Linked DNA regions of Danio rerio. The protein of the gene in region 3 purifies or fractionates together with the protein of the main gene of each other region. This does not show direct contact. Links are inferred from orthologs where the notes say so. Each region holds a gene or a part of one and is shown on either strand. Other genes may lie near its edges.

Region 1 (3,569 bases), on a different chromosome or scaffold from region 3:
TTGGAGAGAACTAGCCCTTTAAGTCAAATAGCATAACCATAACCTGTATATAAACGATTACTACTCGCTCTGTACTGTAGCTCCAGTGTTCTTCAGTCCCACCAGTGCACTGCGCTGTGACAGCAGCTTCCCATTCTCTATTCCCTATTCTGAGTTCTAGCCCAGTGGAAAGTAAGCATCAACGTCCATGTCTAAGTTATGAACTACTTCAGATTTGATTTTCACAATAACAAAGTCCTTGATTGTTTCAATTTGAAAGAGTCCAGTGGGGGCTGAGGCTGAGTCCAAGTGTCGTTGTGGCTAAGATGACTACCTGACCGGTTTGGCCTTGGCCTCTTCACCTTACAATGTGTGTGTGACCTTTGCCCCTTGATGCTTTGGCTGACCTAACCGGAAGCCAAGATGACCACAGCCTTTTGCCAATAGACCAGGGGTGATGGTGAGGAATGCCACTAGTTATTGCTATGTTGTCCATATGGAAAAGCCTCTAGCCAAGATGTAATAGAAATGTCTGAAATGGAGACATTGGGGTTTGCACTAGCAATTTCTGTGTGGGCAAGTCAGGATGTTCATGCCAAGGTTTTGATTAAATATTTAAATGTATCAGATTAATTTTGCCCTAAAAGACCTGAGATTTGATCGTCTGGTCAGCCTTTATTGTGTGTCTTATCAGATTCTCTTTTATCCAAATAGTAATGCCTTTCTGGGAGGCAGCAAAGTGCTCTTGAGTCTCAACAGGTTGGCAATAAGCAACAGAGGGCAAATATGACCTGTATTTCCTAATAGACTCATTATTAATTCAGTGGCGTCCATCTTTCTTTGGTTTGTCTCTTATAAAAGGTTGTCTTATGTTCCCTCCCCTTGTGTACTGAAGGTGGTTACAGCAGCAGGAGTCGCACCGGTAGGGACAAGTACGGTCCTCCTGTTCGCACTGAGTATCGGCTCATTGTGGAGAATCTGTCTAGTCGCTGCAGCTGGCAAGACCTAAAGGTAATGGTGGTAAAATGGCACACAACAACCCTGTCAGCTCTGCATCCCAGCATGTTTTCCATTTCACACAGTAGCCCTAATGTTTAATGCAGAAGCTGATTGGTCTGATTTTAGGACACTTTTTATTACTTCAGTGGTCTCAAGTGATTAATAGAACAAAAACTAACTGTTTAGTGTAAAAATCATTTTAGATATCAATTCTGGGATCTTCAAAATGCATACATTTTCTCTTCACAGCAGTTCAGAATAGATTCAAGAGAAAATGTATGCATTTTGAAAATCCCAGAATCGATATCCGTACAGCCATACTCTGCCTCAGGTTCTTGACAAATACCTCTTAATCCTAAAACAATCATTGACAAAATTGGTGAGTTTCAAGCGCATTCTTAGTGAGCATGTTTAAAAACTAGCCCTGAGCATCGTCTGCTCTTTAAGAACAGACCCAGGGCGCCGTCTGCCATTTTAAAAACCAGCCAAGAGCGCAGTCTGCTGTTTAAAAACTGGCCCAGAGCACCATCTGCTGTTTAAGAACCGGCCCAGAGCACATGTGCTGTTTAAAAACTAGCCCAGAGCACCATCTGCTGTTTAAAAACCGAACCCGAGCGCCGTCTGCAGTTTAAATACTAGCCCAGAGCACCATCTGCTGTTTAAAAACCGAACCCGAGCGCCGTCTGCAGTTTAAATACTAGCCCAGAGCACCATCTGCTGTTTAAAAACCGAACCAGAGCGCCGTCTGCAGTTTAAAAACTAGCCCAGAGCACCATCTGCTGTTTAAGAACCGGCCCAGAGCACATGTGCTGTTTAAAAACTAGCCCAGAGCACCATCTGCTGTTTAAAAACCGAACCCGAGCGCCGTCTGCAGTTTAAATACTAGCCCAGAGCACCATCTGCTGTTTAAAAACCGAACCAGAGCGCCGTCTGCAGTTTAAAAACTAGCCCAGAGCACCATCTGCTGTTTAAAAACCAGCCCAGAGCGCCGCCTGCTGTTTAGGAGAACCAGCCCAGAGCGCCGCCTGCTGTTTAGGAGAACCAGCCCAGAGCGCCGCCTGCTGTTTAGGAGAACCAGCCCAGAGCGCCGCCTGCCATTTAAAAACGGTCCCAGAGCGCCATCTGCAGTTTAAGAACGGTCCCAGAGCGCCATCTGCAGTTTAAGAACGGTCCCAGAGCGCCATCTGCAGTTTAAAAACCAGCCCAGAGCGCCGCCTGCTGTTTAAAAACCAGCCCAGAGCGCCGCCTGCTGTTTAAAAACCAGCCCAGAGCGCCGCCTGCTGTTTAAAAACCAGCCCAGAGCGCCGCCTGCCGTTCAAGAACGGTCCCAGAGCGCCGTCTGCCGTTCAAGAACGGTCCCAGAGCGGTCCTAGTCTAGAATGCCATAATCTGCTGTTAAACTTGCCTAGAGCGCCACCTGCTGTTAAAAAACGTTTAGAATAGATTTAAGCATACCCATACAGTTTTTTAAAAATATCAGGATTAATTACTCAAAATATTTTTTGCCATTTAACAATGTGTAAATTCAATGTTTATGTGGCTTGGTTTTGATTGCTGAAAGTCTTTTAACAGCTAACAACAATGCTGAAGTTTGATGTGGTATTTGAATGATTAGCTGTTGTGCATGAAGCTGAAGTTTGGGTTCTCTTTGCAGGATTTTATGCGACAGGCAGGTGAGGTGACCTATGCGGATGCCCATAAGGAGCGTGCAAATGAGGGCGTCATTGAGTTTCGCTCTTACTCTGATATGCGGAGAGCTCTGGAGAAACTGGATGGCACTGACATTAATGGCAGGAAGATTCGTCTGGTTGAAGATAAGCCACGAAGACGACGCTCCTACTCTGGCAGTCGCTCCCGGTGAGACTTTGCAATTTTTGCTTCTGGTAAATCTCGGGGATCAGTTTCCGCAATTGACAGCAAGAACACACATAGAAGGCTTGTCCAATTAACACGCAGCATATGAATGTGTTCAAAAGAATTAAAAACACCAAAATGGGATGTATTTATACCGCATTTTGAAAGTGAAAGCACCTCATATTCACCGATTATAAAGTTCAGTATTTATTACACGACGTTCTCTTCTTTACATTTACATTATAAACACATTTAGCTCTGTGCATATCGACTTCAGTTCCGATAATAACCGATAATCATTGTATTTATTTATTTATTCTGTTTAATTGATTTATTTATTTTAGCCCCTTAACTGAAAGACGTGATTTTATTTGTGTGTGCGTAGTGTAAACAGTGGGCGGTTTAAATGTAAAAAAAAAAAAAAAAAAAAAGAAGGTAAAATTAAACACAAACTTTTTGTCTTTCAAACATTTATTTTTTCTATTTTAATATCTCGCTGTTAGCTAGTCTTTCAACAAATAACAATGTAAGAATGATAATTATAACGATGATAATAACGGGGAGGGAAACCCCTGTGTTTGAATAATATTTTGCTCAAACTGAGTCTTGAGTTAAAGTAACCATTTATGGGATAATACCTGTTATATATTATACTGTCATTCCTCCTAAAAATACAGAGATTTGATTTTTTTTTTGGCCCATATCGCCCAGCCTTAGCCTGTAGTGTTTTTTTTTTT
Region 2 (3,569 bases), on a different chromosome or scaffold from region 3:
ACACTAAACACATGCATCTTTTTTTCTTTTTACTGAACTAGTCTGCAGTAACGAAAGCAGGAGATGCTTTAGAAACAAACAGATAGCCAACCAAAAAAGTAACGCCGAGTTATACAAAGAGTGGCCAACACAAAATACATACATTCCTTATATGAGAGTCCTATCTCACACTCAATACCCTACGATTACGGTTATATAAAAACAGCACTACAACATACAAAAGAGAGAGATCTACTTAATGTCACTCATCAATTTTTAGAATTTGATCAGCTGTTAGAAAATACAACAATCTTTTCTCCTCTAAGGGCTTATTATGTGGTCTCTTGTCGCCATCTTGTGGATGGAAAACGTCAACCGTCTTTGCTCGGCTCAATAACATAGGCTGGTGGATGCCATCATGCTATCTCAGAAATTATAAATATTTAAAACAGGCACTGTCCTTATAAATAAACTCCACAGATGCAATCTAAACGACTACATTCTTAACTTAAAAGCCTCAAAAGTACATTGTTGTCCAACAGCTGCAACATTTGTCAAACTGTAGTGACTTTATTGATCTGATGTCACTCTGTAGGTGAAGTATGGTGAAGAGGCTGTAAGAGTTCTGATATGGCAGAATATCACATGGCTATTAGCCAATCAGATTCAGCACCCGGACAGAACTGTTGTATATTATATTATATTATATTATATTATATTATATTATATTATATTATATTATAATATATTATAATATATTATATATATTATATAATATAATATAATATAATGAGTGAATTTGAAGTTGATGACTTAAACTACCCACTGTACAATGTGAAGAGAATTGTATTTAAAATTTATTTATGAATTGTTGACAAGAATATTTAAAGCTATATTACCAATTTAGTATCATCTTTTGCAATTCATTTTGTTGCCATACAAGCAAAGCTGTTGCATAAGGCATTATATGTATTTTAGCTTTGAAGTTTTTATTTTTAGTGTTGCTTATATTTGAGTTAAGGATCATGATTGAGCGAAATGACAGGTAATTATAGATAATTATTCCAATTTAAAAAAATGTTTTAAGGAACAAGCTCAAAAACGCTGAGTAAGGTTCAACTGGCTTTTAAGGGTCTTAATTCAGAGCAAAAAGTTAAATTCAACGTCATGGTATTGTGTTACATGCACTCCGAGAAGATTGGTATATTCCTTAGATTTTTAATACAATGTCTAAAAATCCTTTTAGTTAATATGTTTGATAAAATAGTTTTACTTTATATATTTTTTTTATTCAAAATAGAGGCATTAATACTTAATTTTATTAATGATATGATTTTTTTCATATTTTTATTTTTATTTATGCATGTTTTTGTTACTATATATGATGCTTCATTCATTTTCTTTTTTCGGCTTAGTCCTTTTAATAATATGGGGTTGCCACAGCGGAATGAACTGCCAACTTATCCAGCACATGTTTTATGCAGTGGTTGCCCTTCCAGCTGCAATCCATCACTGGGAAACATCCATACACATTCACACTTACCCTACAAACAATTTTAGCTTTCCAATTCACCCACGCCGCATGTTTTTGGACTTGAGGGGGAAACCAGAGCACCCGGAGGAAACCCATAGGAACATGGAGAGAACATGAAAACTCCACACAGAAATACCAACTGACCCAGCCAGGGCTCAAACCAGCAACCTTTTTGCTGTGAGGCTATTGTGCTACCCACTGAGCCACCGTGCTGCCCACATGTATAATGCTTAGTGCTCATAATTTAAAGTCTTTGTTCTACAAGTTGTGCATTGCAATTCACATTCATTTACTATCTTATGTCTTGTTTATATACTTTGACTATGCTTTGTGGAGCAATTGATATTTTAATGTTTGAGTACACTAGATGGCAATAACTCCTGTAGTAAAATAGAAGTCGTGTTGCTTTGTGCTAATGTATTGATTTGTTGAATTGTTCTGTTTTCTTTCCATTTCAGAGCCTCAGGTTCACGATCACGCAGCAGGTCAACCAGCAAGAAGGCTAAGAGCAGGAGCAGCAGGATGGAGGAGAGCAGTAACGGAGCTCGCAAGGGTGGTGATAGCGGCAGGGATAATAGCTTGAGCCGCAGCCCTCAAAATAAAAAGAGCAAACGTGAGAACAAGCGGGGTCGCTCTGATTCTCGGTCCAGATCTCGATCCAAATCGAGGAACGATAGGGATCTGTCCAGAGAGTCTGGGTCCAAATCTCAGGAGGCGAGCAAGAGTGGTGATGAAGGCAGAGCGGGAACACATCGTTCTAGAGCTCATTCTCGATCCAGATCACAAACACCACCAAATGCAGATCAGCGGAGGGAATCTAGATCCAGGTCTAGGTCCAGATCCAAATCACGCTCACATTCACGCTCACAGTCTTATTCCCGATCTCGATCCCGTTCGAGGTCTCGGTCCTAAATCCATTTCTGAAAGTCTTTCTCACTCAGTATTATTCATCTTGTTTTCCAGTCTAGCTAAACGTCTTTAAAACAAGAATATGTCTTAAATGTTTTTTTTTTTTTACCCCTTTAAATCTTTTTGTCACAATTGTGATAGATGTATGCTTAAAACAAAACACAGTTATCAACTGATAGGGGTAAGAAAATAAATAGAATTCAAGATATATTGTCTGAAAACAAGTCTGAATGTTACATTTGAGAAGCAAAATGGTGTATCTTGTTTTTAGATATTTTGTCCTCGGAAAAAGACAAGAATAGACTGAAAATTATGTTTTGCAGTCAGTGTCTAAATGTTGTTCTGCCCTTCATTTCTTTTTTTGAAGCTACTTTTTTGTAGTTTTGTTTTATCCTTTGTTGTCAAATAGACAAGCTAGTTATTAGGGAAATTGCCTGCTTATTCACAGTTATTATTTTCTGAAATTGTTAACCTTATGTTTTATTTTAGTAGTGTTTTTCTTTGGAAATTGCTTGCATATGTTTTATTCATAAAGACCGAGCCCTCAGTAGGTGTCCTAACCCTTTGCATTGTATACTTTAGACCTGTACCATAATTGTTGTTATGCTGGGGCAGAGTTTATGGTCTTTTTAAATTCAGTTTCTCCATGCAAAACAATAAAAACTGCCTCACAATGCTTGTGTCCATTCTGTTCATTTCCAAGGGTGTTTTGTGATGGCCTTCCTTGTATTGCAAAGTCAAAACCACAACTGATCTTTGGCCATTTTATGAAACAAAAGTTTTTAGTTTTTATTTCAAAACTTTTACTTTATTGGAATTGTATAAATCTCTTTTAGGGTTTAACACTTGCCATTTGAATGCAGACTGAAGTCTTGCAAAAACACAATGTAAAGAAGTTGTCATTTATAAGAATGTGTCGATAACTCCATTTTGATAAAAATGTCGGATAGAACCTTATAATTCTATGGTGACGATTTGTAAATGAAAACAACCTCCTGTTTAAAAAAAACGTGTGCCCCAAAGAGTTGAAGATATAGCTTTGAATAAAAATAATACGTTAGTAACTTGTAATTATTTAAAGTATTTTTTCGTTTAACTTTTTAAGTTTCCATGTAGAAAAAAATCCACAAGATGTCGCCAACATTTA
Region 3 (4,335 bases):
TCTGAGCATGCATTACAAGTTTACAAGGTATCATCTGAACTGAGATGAACCCTCCCAGTTCACATCCCCCCGTCAAGGAGCAATAAGACCCTCCCAACCACTATGGCTGTCTCATCCTGTGCAATATCAAACTCCTGAGAGATAGAAACATTACAGTCCACAAACAGAGTGCATCAAAACCCCACAAAGCAAGAACAGTCCAGTTGTCTTCAGTGTGAGTGGCGCAGGCTCTGTGGGCTGGGGGGGCGGAGAAAGGCGCTCCATTGGCTGGCCTCCGCCTCACTACCGCATCACACTCAATCACCTTGAGTTTAATGCTATATCATTTATCTAAATTGCAAGAGACGAACAAGCAATAATGAGTACACAAGGCATAGAAAAGGTTTTATTAACAACAAAATGAAGAGGAAAATCAATCCTATTAGACCCGTTAACTAAGACACACGTGCTAAATCGTGCTCCTGAAGATGTGCACCAGAGTTCGGTTTTAAGAAGAGCTGGAGCAGAAGTTTGCAATGAAGTAGATCTTCAAGAGCAGGACTGAGCACCTGCTGTTCTAAAATAAGGCCTATACAAATGTGTCTGACTTTATACAGGTCAAGCTCTCTCAACAGGATCTGTGGAATAATTGAAACATTTACTTCTTTTTTTAGATGCCAAAGACTTTTAAGTATTGACTTACTTGCATTCTACAGCAATGAATTTATATTGGCACAATGAAACCATGCGAGGAAGAGTGATATATATATCAGTTATCTCTGTGTGCGCTTGCATAAAAACATTTTGAAAATCTTATATAATTATGGTGCAGGCTCTTTAATAAAATACTACAATATTATCCAGTAGGGCTGTGCAATTAATCGAAAATCCGATTTTGGCTTCCAACAATTATGAAAAACCATTAATCGAGATGAACGATTATTACATTATTTACCGCCCCCTTTCCAGTTGTAAACATTTGTTGCTCTTAAAAGCACGAACTAAACCGCATGCTCCTGTTTGTGTGTGTGCAGCGAGCACACACAGTCAGAAGCATGCGGTCAGCATTCGGTCTCATTCGCACACGGTGACGAGCAGAGCGCACATCTAAAGTCATTAATGTGAGCGTTTTAATTTTCAAATAGGCGTCCATACGCGGTGTTTAGTGATTATTCATATTAACCCTCATTTGTGTAATAAACAAACGAGTTGAGAATCAAAAGAAACGTAAAAGCGAAACCTTTAAAGTGACAGCGCACTATTTCTGCTACCGCCTGTTTCGATCAGTATTAATCAAATAAAAAAAGGAGAAAATCCCTTACTGCTCTTGAATGAAGGACTTTTGTAGCTTAAGTGTTATTTTATTGTATTTATTTCTCTTACCTTTGCAGGGAGGAAAATAACTGTTGAAGTCAGAATTATTAGCCCTCCAGAATATTAGCAACCCGTTTCCCCCAAATTTTGTTTAATGGAAACATTTTTTTTAAACACATTTCTAAACATAGTAGTTTTAATAACTCATTTATAATAACTGATTTCTTTTATTTTTGCTATGATGACAGCACATGATATTGGACTAGAAATTTTTCAAAATACAAGCATTCAGATTCAAAGTGCGATTCGAAGGCTTAATTAGGGTCATTGTTAAGTCATTGTGTAACAGTAGTTTCTTCTGCAGACAATAAAAAATATACATTGCCTTAAGGGGCTTATAATATTGACCTTAAAATAAGTTTCAAAATATTTAAACCTGCTTTTATTCTAGCTGAAATAAAAAGACTTTCTCCAAAAGAAAAAAATATTAGAGAAAATACTATTAAAATTCCTTGCTCTGTTAAACATAATTTGGGAAATAATTATTTAAAAAATTCACAGGAGCACTAATAATTTTGACTTTAACAGTAATCATTTTGAATAATCGTGATTACAATTATGACAAAAATAATCAATCGCAAAAAATCAAGTAATGCACCCTTCATTTAAATATGCGAGCATATTTACTATACAAAAAAAAAGTTAATTAATTGTTAGCAAGTTAAAATGTTTATTCAAGATTTTGATTTTAGAGTGATTCAACAAACTTTTTATTCTTTTCATCCTGGCAGTCATAATCGCTGTAATTAAATTACAAATAACTGTAATTAAATGTTTTATTTTAACAAAGAAAAGATGACTAAATTATTCTCTTAGGTATATCATATTATTCCACAAACACTGTTGATTAAGCTCAACTTGAAGAATTTCTTCAAATTACTATATGGCTATGCCATGACAAATTAAAAGTATGTTTTAGACTAAGGAAACACCTTAATGTATTATAAATAAGAGCAAATACCTCTCTGGAATCCCAGCAAAATCTTCCTGAAAATTAAATCTGTACAGACTAAAATAGCAACTAATACAGAGAGCCTATCTAAAACAGATAAAAAGGGTCACGTCTCTTTTTTTCGTACTGTTTAAAGGCACAATCATACAAAAAACAAAGTCTTTAATAACTGACAGATGAGCAAGTAACTGAGACTCAAGTAAAAAAAAAAAACAAGTCTCTTACACTACCAATGTTGTACTGCATTATCATCCTACATGCAAAATCATCTTTTCATTTTATTCCTTAATAGTTTTCATTTCCATAAAAGTGATAAATCAGGCCTTTATGTTTAAGATGTACTGCTAAACTTTGACTAAAACAGAAAGGCACAAATGATCAAGCTGAAATGACTCTACCACTGGCACAATGTCAAGCCCTGCTCATAACTCACCTCAAAAAATAAAGCTCATCATCAAGGGAGAGTTGGATTCAGAGAGACTTTGGGCTCAGTTGAGATCTAATTAGGAGTTGGTGCTATACTTCAGATGCAAGGAATAAGATCCATATTGGTTCAGGCCTTTTAAATCATAAATCACATCAACATTAGAACATTGCTGTTCAGAAGGAACGGTGTCACAAATCATTTCTTCAGAGAGAAATATATCTTTTTACCCCCTTTTCTGTCTTTTTTTAAATCAGGCAGACAGTTTAACACTGTGATGTTAGATGTTTCTGCTGTTACATCTTCACATGACAAATGTTTCAAATAACTGTCAGCGGTTATTCATTGATCTTCAAACCTTCTCTTCTTTCCAAAGCACAACACATCTAATATAGACTGCAGCATGTGTATAAAAAAATAAAACAAGAGCGGGAAGAGCAAGGTGGGGGTCTACCTTTTCCTCCAGCTGGTTAAAGACAAATTCAATGACCACATCATCCTCGAAGCCAAGTATCTCTGTCACACGCTGGGTTATCCAGGGCTTGATGACTTCCAGGTTGACCTTGGTCATATCCACCTAAAACCACATCATAAAATAATCATAATTACAGGATCTTTACTTGTATTGAGCTAAAAATGGTTTATTGTCAAATTACAAATCAGAAATAACCTAAAATGATGATTTGCTTTGCAAAATTACTTTGTATAAATACCTAAATTTTTAGTTCTTCTAAATATTACTTGCAGAAAAAGAAGCCCCGTTTTCACTGCTATAAAATGTGTTTTTACATGTACACTAGGGCTGCACAATATATAGTTTCAGCTTCGATATTGCAATGTGTGCCAGAGATGCGCGGTTGGCGGTTATAGCCGCGGACTCCGCGGATAAACCGCGGATCGGGCGGATGACGTTACGAAAAAATAATATTTTAATTAAATTCGGGCGGGTGGCGGGCGGTTGTACTGTTTTTATATTCATAGCTGGCGCACCAACGAAAAAGCCTAGGACTGACTTCACAGAATGGGAGGAGGAATCGGATACATTAATTCTGGATGTAGTGTACAAAAGTATTCCTCTACAAACTTCCGTATAGACGGATCAGCATAGGAAAATCTACTTTCCTTTTGGGAGAAATAAGGCCAGGCATTCCCATGACTACAGCACCTTTCCAAGAGAATTCTATGCATTTCAGCAACAAGTGCTGCGAGCGAGTGCTCCTTCAGTGCAGCAGGGCGCAGTGGCTATGCAGGCACTCCCGTCTGAATCCTGACACTGTAGATGCCATTTTATTCCTGCATTGTGCCAAGAAAAAATCAAACTAGACCTAAGGTCAGGCATATTAAACCAATTAGCCTATGTTATTTAGGCTGCACATATGTTCAATATAAACTTTTGAGTTTGGTCAGCTGATAATTTTACGTTCATATTGGTTTAGCCTATTCTATTCTAGACATGTTGGCCTCGCTTTTACGTTCCGAGGCTAAGGTTATTTTGCCAGAATTTCTGTCGCAAATTTAATGGCGTAGTATTTCGTTATGCTTCAAGTTTGAGGGGAATGGGGATGATCCTAAGTCCATGGGTTATTGGGGCACTTGTCATACATGC
Region 4 (3,569 bases), on a different chromosome or scaffold from region 3:
AAATTCTCCACGATGAGGCGATTCTCTGTGCGCATTGGCGGAGGGTTCCTGTCAAGTGAAATGTCTTAAGTTAGTTAATTACTAATGTACAAAATAAGACTAAACTAAGACAAAATAATAAGCCTATTTGGGCAAATATTCTTTACCTTTCAGATTTAGGGTGCTTTCACACCTAGACTTTTGTTTTGGAACCTGTCTTGTCTTGTTATCGCCGTTCGTTTGGTATATGTGAACCCAGTAATCGTGCTTGGATCCACGCCAAATCAATCGGTCCGAGATCGCCTAAATGAGGTCGGTTGAAATGAACTCAGGAGCGGAACGATTGTAGTGAGAAAGCAATACGATCTGAGCCAGGCTTTATCACAGTGTATTATGGATATGTAATAGACATATGACTATATGAAGAGAGAATTATAAGCAGGGCCGGCGCAAGCTAAACTGGTGCTCTAGGCAAACTATGATCATGCCACCCTCAAAACGAAAGAGAGACGGGGGTGTGATTGCGCCTATGACAGTGAGGACCGGTAGGTTTGTCGCGGACGAAAGTGAGGACCTAGGTGAAGGGATGTCTCGGACGCCGCCTGGGTCGCCTCTATGGATGTAATTCCTACTGGTAAAAGTGTGTTTCATGTAAAATTCGAAAGTGAAAGCGTACTGAACTATTAACGAGAGCTGTGTATCTGTTAAGAAAATTGACAGAACAACAGTCTTGGTTTATCTGTTACTTCTCTCTATAATGTAAAGGCCTATAATGCATAAGCCAACTGATATGTCTGAGAAAGTCTTACCTCTGACTTTTATTGATATATGATATGATATGATATTTGGTGATGTCTGTAGGTGTCACCATTCAAAATTAAAGCGTAGCTTTTCGCTTCTAATGTCTTATTGCTCAAAGTCATAATTTAAAATAAGGATGCATGACAGCTGACCGAGACTCAAACTGTGAAATTCTGACCAATGTTAGGAGAGTTTACTTGCATGTGAATTGTTTTTAGCTCTTTTGGTTCATTAAGAAACTTTCAAGTGTGAAAGCGAATCGCACCAAGAACTAAGAGCAACAATGTAACAATTTTAATCCCTGTTTCGGAACAAGACAATCGATCAACAGCATTGTTGAAAACAGTTAGTATTTGTTGTGAATATATATTTATTCAGAATTGTTTGCCAATTATTGGTAACATTAGAAATGTCTAAGACTTCACAAAATCTATAAAAGTGACTAGAGAGCACTTTAATGCAAATGTAAACTTTGCCATGAAAAAAAATTACAGAAACTGTTTCTATGTTTTTTGTGTAAACAAGTATTTTACAGTACTTAAGAAATCCTCAAAAATGTCTGTCAATGTTTTCAAACTTTTTTTTTCTATACAGAGCAACTCTTATCCTTTCGATTAGCATTAGTATTTTTTGCAGTTTAATTTACAGAATTTCTACAGTGTGTTGTATACTGTAAAATCTGAGACTTTTTTTCTCACATCCATAACGCGTGTTTATTTTCTTCATTTAAAGTACAAAACATGTTTACAGGTTGATAATTTTCTGGTCCTACAACTCATAATAAAATATAAACATATTTCAAAATAATATTAACGTATACTTTCTTTGTGAATTTATATTTTGAGTTTTTACGGCAAATGTCACATTCATAACATTGGAATTGCTCAATAACTATAATATCACCTACACCAATGTGTGATAACATTATTTTATTATAAATCACACTACAATGGTATAATCTGTTGTTTTAAATGCTATTTAAATCAGGAAGGATTCTGCAATAATGACTGCCAATATTTTAACTGTTCATCAGCTGGAATAAAAAAAGATGATGTTTTAATAACAGTGGCTTTAGCACAGAGTAGTTATAGGAACTAAGTCACAAAAACAAGCCTACAGTTCCTGTACCCCAACAACAATTGTTTTTTGAGGCCCAAGACTGTATGAGGATTTTAAAAACATTCAGGCATATGAAATTGGACCATTTGTAACTTTGAAAAATGATTAACAGTTAATTTCATCTAATTGTTTATATCAAGACTATGAACTAAAAACAATAAAATGTAGTTCATTTAATTTGTATCTTTTTCTTTATTGAATACATCTAGTATTGTAGATTGTTTTTAAATATATGTTTTTATGCAGATATATTCCCTTACAGAGTAATTCCAGTGAATCTAAAATTATAAATTCTTTCCAAATAGTTATTTGTCATCTAGGAATATTGTATACATACTGTAATAAGTAAATCGCAGAATAAAGAAATTGCAATGTTAGATTTTTCCAACATCATGCATCCTTATTTTGAACTGTAAAGTATTCACACATAACAGAAGGTTTGTCTGCAATAAATAATAACAAAAAAGACCCATGAGGAAAGTTTACCTAAAGACTGACACTCACCTTCGGCTGTCCTGAGAGCCTCGACCATACCGAGCAGGGAAACGTCCTCCACCCCCACGACCTCGGCCTCCACGCAGACGAACGCGTGCATGTTCAATGGTCACTCTGAAAACAAACAAAAAAGGTCCCTCATATGCATGTCTGCCTAATATATCAGTTCACTCAGAGAGCTCTTTTTTTAACCTAAACACCTTCAAGCCATGACATACACAGTTGATGTTCGGCCAACAACGGGCCATTGGTTTTAGCAGTTTGCCAATAGGGGTCATTAGTGCTCTACTCTAACCGGATGTTAACTTTAGTAAGTGAGTCTGTAATAAAATTTAAACTGATGCAAGCCATAGAAGAAAAAAAACTGTTCTAATTTTACACCATCTAACTGGAGTACTTCAGAATCATATGAGATTAATACATAATCTGAAACCATTTAGTTATTTATAGTTTGTTAGGTTTTGACAATAATGGTCAAGACACAGCTATTTCAAAAATCTGGAATCTATTTTAAAAAATATCTAATTATTGAGAAATTCACCTTTTAAATATGTACAAGTTCAGTTCTCAGCCTAATTAATGATTTTATATACTTATATTTTTATATTAGTTTAAGTTTAACTTTAAGAACCTGGGTGTTATTATTGATAGTGACTTCAAACTGGACAAACAGATTTATTCAATAATTAAAGCTATTTTTTTCCAGTTAAGGCAATTATCCAAAGTTAAGTTTCTTTTCTGTCTTTTAACAACTTTGAAAGAATTGTATATATATATATATTTTTTTTTTTTCAGCTAGATTACTGTAATGCCCTCTATGTGGGTATTAGCCATGCCTCCCTTACTTGTCCTAGGGTTTCTGCAGGTTTCACAGAGTTAAATTTAAGACTTAAGACATTTTTAAGACCATTATGAATGAAATTTTAGACTCATAAAAGGCTAAGGAATTTTTAAAATGGCCCAGATAGAAAGGATTTTTATTTGCCCAATATTATTTTATTATAATTTAAGGCATTTTATATAACAATATTACACTAATAATAAAAAATAAAATATTTTAAATATTACTTACTATTCTACTTGTATCCAAACTTTTTTTTTTTTTTTAATCTGTCTAGGTTGGTGTCCTCAGCAGGAAATACTTTGATAACTTTTAAACAAATGTTATTGTAAGA

The links.
Region 1: the proteins of srrm1 (region 3) and srsf6a purify together in Homo sapiens (affinity purification with western blotting; 3 studies listed by BioGRID and IntAct, with this or other methods). This does not show direct contact. The link is inferred for Danio rerio from reciprocal best matches to the Homo sapiens genes SRRM1 and SRSF6.
Region 2: the proteins of srrm1 (region 3) and srsf4 purify together in Homo sapiens (affinity purification with western blotting; 3 studies listed by BioGRID and IntAct, with this or other methods). This does not show direct contact. The link is inferred for Danio rerio from reciprocal best matches to the Homo sapiens genes SRRM1 and SRSF4.
Region 4: the proteins of srrm1 (region 3) and srsf5b purify together in Homo sapiens (affinity purification with western blotting; 3 studies listed by BioGRID and IntAct, with this or other methods). This does not show direct contact. The link is inferred for Danio rerio from reciprocal best matches to the Homo sapiens genes SRRM1 and SRSF5.

The regions. Positions count from the first base shown.
Region 1 is NC_133198.1:4,266,626-4,270,194, forward strand, and holds part of srsf6a (serine and arginine rich splicing factor 6a), read left to right. Parts: intron 1-874; coding exon 875-990; exon of another isoform or gene 991-2,602; coding exon of another isoform or gene 2,603-2,632; coding exon 2,633-2,835; intron 2,836-3,569. UniProt on the Homo sapiens protein: Plays a role in constitutive splicing and modulates the selection of alternative splice sites. Plays a role in the alternative splicing of MAPT/Tau exon 10. Binds to alternative exons of TNC pre-mRNA and promotes the expression of alternatively spliced TNC.
Region 2 is NC_133194.1:14,557,584-14,561,152, forward strand, and holds the end of srsf4 (serine/arginine-rich splicing factor 4), read left to right. Parts: intron 1-1,971; coding exon 1,972-2,425; 3' UTR 2,426-3,096; downstream 3,097-3,569. UniProt on the Homo sapiens protein: Plays a role in alternative splice site selection during pre-mRNA splicing. Represses the splicing of MAPT/Tau exon 10.
Region 3 is NC_133192.1:26,822,900-26,827,234, reverse strand, and holds the start of srrm1 (serine/arginine repetitive matrix protein 1), read right to left. Parts: upstream 2,870-4,335; 5' UTR 2,739-2,869; intron 1-2,738. UniProt on the Homo sapiens protein: Part of pre- and post-splicing multiprotein mRNP complexes. As a component of the minor spliceosome, involved in the splicing of U12-type introns in pre-mRNAs. Involved in numerous pre-mRNA processing events.
Region 4 is NC_133195.1:31,614,981-31,618,549, forward strand, and holds part of srsf5b (serine and arginine rich splicing factor 5b), read right to left. Parts: intron 2,509-3,569; coding exon 2,404-2,508; intron 49-2,403; coding exon 1-48. UniProt on the Homo sapiens protein: Plays a role in constitutive splicing and can modulate the selection of alternative splice sites.